Saccharomyces cerevisiae S288C: one gene and its partners. The protein of the gene in region 1 binds, or shares a complex with, the protein of each later gene. Each region holds a gene or a part of one and is shown in the gene's direction. Other genes may lie near its edges. The genes, in order: IES5, IES1 and IES4.

The links.
Region 2: IES5 (region 1) and IES1 share a complex: the UniProt entries of both Saccharomyces cerevisiae proteins name them as parts of the chromatin-remodeling INO80 complex.
Region 3: IES5 (region 1) and IES4 share a complex: the UniProt entries of both Saccharomyces cerevisiae proteins name them as parts of the chromatin-remodeling INO80 complex.

Annotation. Positions count from the first base shown.
Region 1 is NC_001137.3:340,824-343,812, forward strand, and holds IES5 (Ies5p), read left to right. Parts: upstream 1-2,031; coding exon 2,032-2,409; downstream 2,410-2,989. Other genes in the region: MET6 (5-methyltetrahydropteroyltriglutamate-homocysteine S-methyltransferase), read right to left, coding at 1-1,344; TORC2 complex subunit TSC11, read right to left, coding at 2,497-2,989.
Region 2 is NC_001138.5:107,200-111,537, reverse strand, and holds IES1 (Ies1p), read left to right. Parts: upstream 1-1,607; coding exon 1,608-3,686; downstream 3,687-4,338. Other genes in the region: YFL012W (uncharacterized protein), read right to left, coding at 445-891; lipid-binding protein HSP12, read right to left, coding at 3,953-4,282. UniProt on the Saccharomyces cerevisiae protein: Probably involved in transcription regulation via its interaction with the INO80 complex, a chromatin-remodeling complex.
Region 3 is NC_001147.6:687,723-690,587, forward strand, and holds IES4 (Ies4p), read left to right. Parts: upstream 1-1,901; coding exon 1,902-2,252; downstream 2,253-2,865. Other genes in the region: MSB1 (Msb1p), read left to right, coding at 1-1,458.

The DNA of each region.
Region 1 (2,989 bases):
AGGGAAGGAACCAATAGTTGTTGTTGGGAACAATGGCAAGTTGAAGACTTTTTGTTGTTCAGGCAATCTTTGTTCAAATGGAGCTGCTCTAGTAGACATTTTTTCGTCGATAGAGGCAACTCTGGCCTTAACGGCAGCATCGTGGATAAACTTGGATTTACCTCTGGATTCAACAGATTTAGCGTTAGCTTCTAGGGCAGCAGCAACGTCTTGACCGGAAACGTTCTTGGTGATCACAACAACTTCATCCAATTTTTGAGTGGCGAAAGAGAAAAAGCCCTTGATTTCAGCGTCCAACTTGGTTTCGTTGTTCAAATCAACTGGTGTGTGCAATAGAGAAGAAGAAGTGGCAACAACGACTCTGTCAGCACCCAACTTTTCAATAGCCTTGTTAACGATAGCGGAAGACTTCTTGAAATCATTCTTCCAAATGTTTCTACCATCAACAATACCAACGGACAAGGTTTGTTTGTTACCAATGGCGGCAACGACTTCATCAAATTGTTCTGGAGCTCTAACAAAGTCAACGTGTAAGGCAGCAACTGGCAAGCCCTTGATGGCGTCTAAGTTAGGGACAACGGTACCGAAGTAAGTAGCCAAAGTAATCTTTGGTAGATTGCTTTGTTCACCGAAGTAAGTGTAAGCCTTCTTAATGGCGGCTTGGGCGTTGGCAGGCAAGTCCAAAACTAAGACAGGTTCGTCAATTTGAACTTCAGTGGCACCAGCAGAAGCCAATTTAGATAGGATTTCAGTGTATAGAGGCAACAATTGTTCCAATAGGGACAATGGTTCCAAATCTAGAGAATCCTTGTCAGCCTTACCCAAGAATAAGTAAGAAACTGGACCCAACAAGACAGGTCTAGTATGAATACCTAACTCCTTGGCTTCCAAAAATTCGTCAACTGGCTTTTGGCCGTTCAACTTAAATTGAGTGGTCTTGGAGAAAGTTGGTCTAACGTAATGGTAGTTAGAGTCGAACCATTTAACCATTTCCAAAGCAGTGACGTCGACAGCCTTTTCAGTTTCAGTGGCCTTTCTTTGTAAACCTCTACCCATAGCAAACAAAGTGTCGATTGGAGATAGATCGTACTTAGTGTAACGGTCTGGAATGACATTGAACAACAAAGACAAATCCAAAACTTGGTCGTAAAAGGAGAAGTCATTGGATGGGATGATATCAACACCAGCCTCCTTTTGCAACTTCCAGTTTTGAGTTCTCAAATCCTTACCGACCTTGAATAATTCATCGACAGTGATTTTACCGTTCCAGTAACCTTCAGTGGCCTTCTTTAATTCTCTGTTTGGACCGATTCTTGGGAACCCTAAGACAGCAGATTGAACCATTTTTGATATGTACTTTGAAATTATATTGGTATTTTGTTTCTTAGAGTGTTGTCAATGCTCTTAGATGCTTGCTTTTTTATGATAAAGGAAGAGTTTAACAAAAATATTGAATACGTAAAAGAGAAACTAATGCTAGTAAAGATGGAAATATCTATCACTTATATAGAATTTTTTTTTCTTTCCTTTTTTTCTTTCGCAGTTGGGAAAACTAGCTAGCTTCCCTTAAATTAGTGCATCTATCGCATTTGTTCCATATTCACATTCACAGTTCTCAATTGAGCAGAACGAGCTATGACTACCACAGTTTTGCGACCGGGAGATAGAGCGAAAGAGCTGCCATGACTGCGATGACTCTAGCGAAAAATATTGGCCTTTTGCACGTTCGCGACTAAACGAGTTCGATAGTAGTCCCGTTTCTGGTTTTTTCCCTTTACCGGCCCACATTTTTTCACCTGACTCCGGTCCTGACGTACGACTCTGTTTGTAAGTCACGTGAAATATTTCCTGTGGCTTTTACTAGTAATGTGCACGTGATGTGGCGTGATGGTCCTTTACCCGGAGTGCGGGACCCTGGTTCATGAAAAATTGTGTGAAATCAACTGCATTTTTGGAAGCGAAAAAGATGATGAACCTGAGTTGAATGGCTGTGGGAAACCAATACTTGACTGATTATAAAACAAGAAAAAAATGCCTAGTAAAGATCCAGAGAGCGTTATAGACAAAGAAATACGGAAGATATCAGCAAGAAATGATGAGCTTATCAAACAGGATGGGACTCTAAAAAGGGAATACACTACATTATTGAGAAAAGTATCGAGCGTGATAACGGTACTGAACAGTATTGATGATGCAGATACTGGTTCTGCTGAAACGGAACTCCCACGCTTAATATCTCAAGCAACAGTAGAGAAAGTACCCGAATTGAAGTGGTACAATGATCAGATATCACTGATTACAGAAAAGTTGGAGGACGATGAAGATATTGAGGTTCCCGAGGAGCTAATGGATGCTTATACTCTGTACAAGGAAACCCCATTATTATATAATGATACGCACACACCATAACGGTTTTGTATGCTGTGGTGTAGGGAAGTGCCTGGGTCTATGGAATATTGTGACTATATACATTTATACATGCGGCCCTTTTTTGCTCTAACGTGTAAAATTAGCCGGCCTTTTGTCCCTTTTGTTGTCGTGCCTGATGACATTTTCAAGCGCTCTATTGTTAATAAATAGTCCGCAAAGAAACTTCCTAACATGTGGCTTAAACCGATACTTCGACATCATATTAAATACTTTGAAGAACATTTTCTCGTTTTCAAAAAGCCTTGGACCGTATTTATTGTTTATTTCTGTAATCTCCTTCACTGCGTGATTTGAAAGGATATGATTGCCTAGCTGACTTACTATATGTAGTACCTTGCTCTCGATGGAGTCATCGTCATTGCGGTATTGTGTAACATAGGGAGAAGAAAGGCCTTCGTTTGCGAAAAGACTACTATTTTCACCTGAAACAGTGATAGTTTGACTTGTGATATCGTTGTCGTATTTATTAGTAATGATTTTTTCATTTAATGGATTCTCTGCGGTATCTTTCTCTTTGAGTAGTTTGTCCAAATCAAATTCGATGGGTAAGCATTTTTCT
Region 2 (4,338 bases), on another chromosome or scaffold:
ACGACTGTTTATTTGCGTATGGGATTTCGTGTATACTTCAATGAAAGAAAAAAAAAAAAATATAATAAAACTAATGGTTTTGCAATTTGAAGGGTAAGTTTTTACTGCATATGGCCAAAAAAACTTTTGACTTTTTCATATGTCTATCAAATTATCCATAAGACCATTGCTCATCGAAAGAGATTTCATTTCTTCTCGAAGGCCATTTTTTAATACTCCTTGCAGAATTTTTCCTAATCGTGCATAATCAGTTTTCGTACTTCTCCTCAATGATAACATATTCTTGGAAAGCTGCTTAATGGCGTTTACCAACAATAAATTTATAGACATATACCAAAATCTTCTTTTAGTCCACATATGAACATATTGAAGATATTCTATTGAACAACTTAAAATACTATAAACGCATTCATCTTCTTTTTCTTACTGAGAAATTTTATATTCCTAAAAATTTTGAAATGATCTGAGTTTATTTAGATCTCTTGAACATCCTACAAGAACATTTGAAGGGCAATAATCCTCATCAATACTACTCAATTGTTTTCCATGGGAAAGGATTTCGATCTCTTCCTTTAATATATGTCTTCTAAACCACTTACGTATCCTATCTGTGCTAGAAAGTTTTGTTTTATTCTTCGTATGATCTTCCAATATAAAGTTAGTGTTATTTTCCCACTTCTTGAGGTTACAAACTGGTTCTTTCACTTTCAGCTCCGGATTATTCTGCTTTCTCGTTTCATCCGTTGTTGCGGTAGGTGAATGATTTATTTCAATGACAATGTGTGATACGAGTTCCATTACTTTGATGTAGCCATCATTTTGGAAAGGTGAACTTCCATAAAAAACTGACGAGGAAGACGCAATGGTCCTTTTTGGTCGGGATTTGGGCATCTTTCTATAAGTAGCTAAATTATGGTATTTGATAGCTATATTTGCGACTTATTAGTATTTTGACATTCCATAAAATGCAAAAATTATTTACTATCCTTTTAAATTCAGTTATTATACACGTACATATTTTTTTAAACTGATGCGACAGTTTATCGAGTTTTGTGTCAGAGGACGTGAAAAAATTGCTCTAGTTGAGACCAACATGATTCAGGATGAAAAATTATCCAACGTTCGATTTTCTGGTCTACATGTCATTTGAATAAATTATTTAGCAGACGTTGGATAGAAAGGATTGAAAGATTACATAATGTTATTTCAAAAAAGAGAGAATTGAAATATGCTGGCTGACCTTTACCGAAAACAAGAAGATGAACAGAAGGAAAACCTGAGAGTCGATTGATGTCTCAAAAGACCACTACTGTTATGACACAAAACAATTTAACGACTCTTGATGTAAAGGAACTAAAGCAACACTTTTCTTAACCAAGCCAGTATATATTTTGCAGTATCAGAAATAATCAGACTTTTTTTTTTCTTAGCCCATATTAAGACAATTCTGTAGCATATCGTGTACAACGAAAAACAGGTTACCCTCGAATGCGGTAACGGTACAAGTAAGTAAAGAACGCCCAATGAATGCTGATATGGTATTGGAAACAGTTCATGATTAACTAAGTAAAATCGAAAGCTAAATAAAGGCGACACTCTAATTAAAGATGGGGAAGAGAGTATACGATCCAATTCATGATACTTTCCAACTACGAGAAGACAATTCTGACGAAACAAAAGCAGATTCTCCAATGCAATCTGTAAAATCGGGATCACAAGAAGAAGCATCCCCAAGCTCCATTCAATCAGAGACCGAGACTGTGACTACAAAAAGCATTCCAGTTATACACGAGATTGAAATCGACGATAAAAATGATGATGACTCCACGCAAAGTGAAGAAGAAAATACCAACATCTTGCTCAACTTCGAACCTTCTACAGTGCCTGAAGCAACAGGAGCAAGTACGGCAACGGGGCCAGTGACAACTAACACTGTTAGAAGGAAACCCAAAGAAAGCAATGCCAGTAAATACAATCGTCATTTGAAGAAACCTGACGGCGAGCCATTCAATAGAAAGGACATTCAGTTCAGTTTCATGCAAGAACTGTTGATGGACAAGAGGCAAATCTTCACTAATGTTCTAAAACCCCTATACAAGAACTCTATTGTACCCATTAATATCGATGGCGATAAATTATCAATCAACGTGACCGACAAAGAGTACGATGCAAGGACATTTGTATTTAACGATAAATTGACGTTCGCACAATTGTATGTGTTGACAATAGCCACTTCTATCAAATGTTCCAAAATTCTCAGAGATAAACTATTATTAGACCAACAAGTAGCATTTTCTACTTGTGTTTTAGCGTTATTGGTCAACATTGGTAGGTTGAACACCACTATAAATTTTTATTTAGAAATGACATCGCAATTGAGAACTTTTCACTCCGTGCCAGTTTTACAATTACATGCCAATGATCCGAAACTTTTGCAGGATACACCTAGACTGAAATCTATTCTGAAAAATCTGCCGTGGGGCAATGAGCAACTCTCATTGATGGAGACTTACAAAAAGGTCGACCAAAATGATGGTGAAGTGGACACCGTTAACAAATTTAACATTATTAATATGTTGTTTAGCATATGTGATAATTCCGGCCTAATTGACAAGAGGTTTCTTTCCAAGTATGTGGAAGTCGAATCGAAAGCTCAGGAGCAAGATATGGTAGATGAACAGAATGAAGTAAAAGAAACGGAAGCGGAAAATGAAAAACAAGAATCAAAAGCAGCTTATGCAACAACATTATTTGATATACTGGACTATTCGAAATACGAGCCAAAGGATAGATCAAACATATTGATTTGGCTGCTATATATTCATTTGGAGACAAACTTAAGCCAGGAGGAGGTCGAAGAATCAGTAAGATTTTTCAATGGATTGGAAGATGGTGCACCTGCTGGAAAGTTCATTTTAAGGTGTACGGAACGCAGTTACGACACGGATCCTGAAGATGAATTAGAGTTCGGAGCCAACCAACGCATCAAGAGAAGAGAATTCATGAGTAAGATGGAGGAGGGTAGGAAGCGCGAGCGTACCAATGTTACAGAGGTGAAAAAGCCCAGTATCGGTGGTGACAAGAGTGAAGAGGACGGTGAAGGGGAAGATGACAAGAGCGAGGAGACTGTAGAGGAGACTAGATCACTTTTGACGCCTACGCCCATACTGGAATCTTCTTCACCCATGACATTGAACAGGAAAAAAGTCACACCACAACTGCCCAAAGTAACGCCAGCAGCACCAACAGAAACAGAAGAAGAAATCACCTCCGCTGCTATCATTGACAAAAACGATTTAAATCTAACACCATTGAAAAAATACAATAGTTCGGCTACGGTAAACAAGGTCGACAAGCTAATATCGCTAGATCTGAACAAGCATGTGTCAGAAAATGGTAAGACACAAGAGGAGTTTCTCGCCGATTTGAAAAAATCCCAGGTGCCAAACAGGTTGAAAAGACGCGATATTGGGTTAATCAAGATATTCAATGAATTTGAAGACATCCCCGTAGCGTCAGTGCTTGGGATTCGCGGTAAAAAGAGAAAGAAATTCAAAGATAATTTGCTTGGATTTGAGACGGATTTCATGAAAAATCTCGGCGCTTCAAAGAAAGTACTTTTAAATAAAATCGAACGCGCGGAAATTGATGACGAAGAAGCAACCGCCATGTTTAAGCTGGAGTGAAATAGAACAATACGCACACACACACACACACACATACATACATTTAAGAACATTTTGTAAAGAAAGAGAATTTTTTTTTTTAAAAAAACAGCTAATTTTTAAACTGAACTAGAGTATATGCGTACTTAAGTTTATATATTCCACCTCGATTTAAGCGTTTTTTTTTTAGAATTTTTTTATTACTCTGCTATTCATTGAATATAATATTAAGGAACATCACACATCATAAAGAAAAAACCATGTAACTACAAAGAGTTCCGAAAGATTTACTTCTTGGTTGGGTCTTCTTCACCGTGGACACGACCGGAAACATATTCGACGGCATCGTTCAACTTGGACTTGGCGGCTCCCATGTAATCTCTAGCTTGGTCTGCCAAAGATTCACCTTGACCTTCAGCGTTATCCTTGCCTTTTTCGGCAGAGTCGTGGACACCTTGGAAGACACCCTTGTTGTCTTCTGGTTGAACCTTACCAGCGACCTTGTCGGCCTTGTCAGTGATGTATTCCTTACCTTGTTCAGCGTATGACTTTTGAGAGTCTGGCTTCAAAGCTTCAGAAGCTTTTTCACCGAATCCTTTTCTACCTGCGTCAGACATTGTTGTATTTAGTTTTTTTTGTTTTGAGTTGTTTGTTTGAGATTATCGAATAATCA
Region 3 (2,865 bases), on another chromosome or scaffold:
TACGAACACGATGATGACGACAGTGACAAACTTAAAAATTCCCAGAAAAGAGCTACCGACTCAGCTATTGAAGAATTAAACGGTATGGTTGAAGAAATGATGATTAATGAGCCAGACGATGTAAAAATCTCCATAACTGAGGCAGAGACTTTCGAATCATTGACAAAGTTTGATCAATATAAGCCATCCAATATAACTGACGATGACTTACAAAGCAGCCATTCAAGCGCCGTTCACTCATTGAAGCTAAGTACAAATACAAATGATTCTTGCGCTGATAGTTCCAAATACACCGCTGATAGGAAATTAGCGGAACCTAGAAAGATTTCTGAGGAATCCAAAGTCAACGACGATTCATCATCATATTATTCTCCAAATATCAACAACTTGCCGGCATCAAGAATGCCTAGTCAACCCACTTATTCAAATTCGGATTCGAAAAAGGCATTTACGAATGAGTCTCGCCTGAACGTCTTACAAGGTGCAGTCAGTCCATCTCAACAGGTAACACCAAAACCATATAAAAATGCGCCTGGAGACTGTGTATCTCCTGTTCAGCAAAAATACTATCAGAACGATCGTAGAAATGAAATGTCGCCTGCAAGTGCACCAGTTCCACCTTCTGCATATTCACCTGCGAGGTCTCCACAATTCTCCACCAATTCGGCTGGATTCAAGCAGAACACGATTAATGTACCCGTTGGGTATAATGATCCTGCTCACGTTTTAGCAAATCAACCACATATGACATATCGGGACCAGCATAATTATCCATCTCACCAACAAAAACAACGTCCCTTCCAAAACAATATTGTGCCCCCAGAACTAAAGTCCAGAAATCAACGGGCAGATGCTTCACCTATTCCCCAACATATGGTGCCAGTAAAACAAGGTGTGCCCAATCTTCCATCTAACGTTCCATTATATCAACAAATGGAACGAATGAACCCTAACCACCAGCACCCTGTAAATACTTACAAGGTAACTCAGCCGCCGTATCATAATAACACAACAAATGCTTATGGGAACAGCCGGGCAGGCAATGCTCATATGTTAGATGGAAAGTGGAGCAATAATCCGCCGCAAATGGTACCAAAGGGAGTTCGCCCCAATCAATATCCACAGCAGCACGTTAATAGGTATTCACCGCAAGCTCAACCTGTCGTACCTGCGGAATACTACAATGGACCTCCACCTATGCGAGCACCTCCAATGATGTCCCATATGGTACCAGCTCAGGAGCCGATACGTTACACAGCTGGTGCTAACAGGCGTAGTTTTCCCCAAGGCATGCAGCAGAATGCCTATTCCGTACCCGCTCAGCCTATGGGGGCTGTAAATAGTGAATTTTACCTACCAGAAGCTCCTCAGGGAAACAAACTGCATGGAAATATTAACAAAAGACAGGAGAGAAAGAAGCTATATGATAACATTAGAAGCGGAAATTTCGGCATATAGAAACACTTTGTATCTGAAATTATCATCTTTATGAAATCTCAACAGTTGTAAAATTTCCCGAATATTTATACATATATATGTGTATGTAATTACAAGTATTTAGGACAATAAGGAGAGATTTAAGTCTACTACATAATTTTTAACTCCTACAAATGGCAGGTTACGTTGAGTAAGAATATAACATTTTATTTTCCATATTCAACATCATATGCATTTTATCATCTCATCCTCTTAGTCACTAATTTTTCTAACGCTCATAACAAAAGGTGCGTTACGCCGTCTAGAGCTTTTCTTGAACGTTAAAACTTTACCAAGCAGTTGACGGGTAATCATTCTCATAATCCAAGTAATTTTAAAGATATCAACAAAATGTACTATAATGCCAACACATTCTTTACTTATATTGGCCGGAAGATAAATCCAATTTCTCGAGTAATTGTGGTATGTCCCAAGAAAGTAGTGTTTTATCAGAATCGCAAGAACAACTAGCCAATAACCCTAAAATAGAGGATACAAGCCCTCCCTCTGCCAATTCGAGAGATAATAGCAAACCTGTACTTCCGTGGGATTACAAGAATAAAGCCATAGAGATCAAGAGCTTCAGTGGTTATAAGGTAAATTTCACCGGCTGGATAAGAAGAGACGTAAGAGAAGAACGTCAAAGGGGAAGCGAGTTTACTGCATCTGACGTTAAAGGATCAGATGACAAAGCTACAAGGAAAAAAGAACCAGCAGATGAGGATCCTGAAGTAAAACAACTTGAAAAAGAAGGAGAGGATGGACTGGACTCATAAGGTAATGTCAACAGCTTAAAGTTGTTCTCAGGGCCCCACACTTTCTAGTTTGGCACGTCATTTATGAAATTCACAAATTGGTTACATTAAGTACTAAATCTGGTAGCCGACCAAAAAAGAACAACAAATATACAATTGTATGAGTAAATATGCAATATAAATCAAATGTATTTAGTTAAAGGGCCAGAAGTAAGGCTACAGACTGTAAAAGAAAATTAGATGGAAACCCTCTTCAGGAAAAAAGGACATTATAAAAGATACAGCCAAGAAGTGGGCGTTTATAAAACAATTATATAACATGACCGTCGATTATATTCTGACAGGAATGGCGACGATTGCATCGTTATATTTCATTTCATTCCCAACTCAACGATACTGGTATCAAAAAGCCTCTCTGTTCATTATTTGTCCCACTACAAGCGACTCTCTTATTTTTGGCGGTCTCTGCCAGCTTAAGAAAAAGCGGTTACCAAACGACACTAAAAGAAGCGGCGCGTCTGGTTCATTAGAAATTTGTCAGTAATGCTGTCAATCTTTGTGTAAAAAGTCTTTCCATCAGTTGCCACCCCTTTTGTAGCAACTTCCATGCGTAGAACAACCTCACATTCATTAT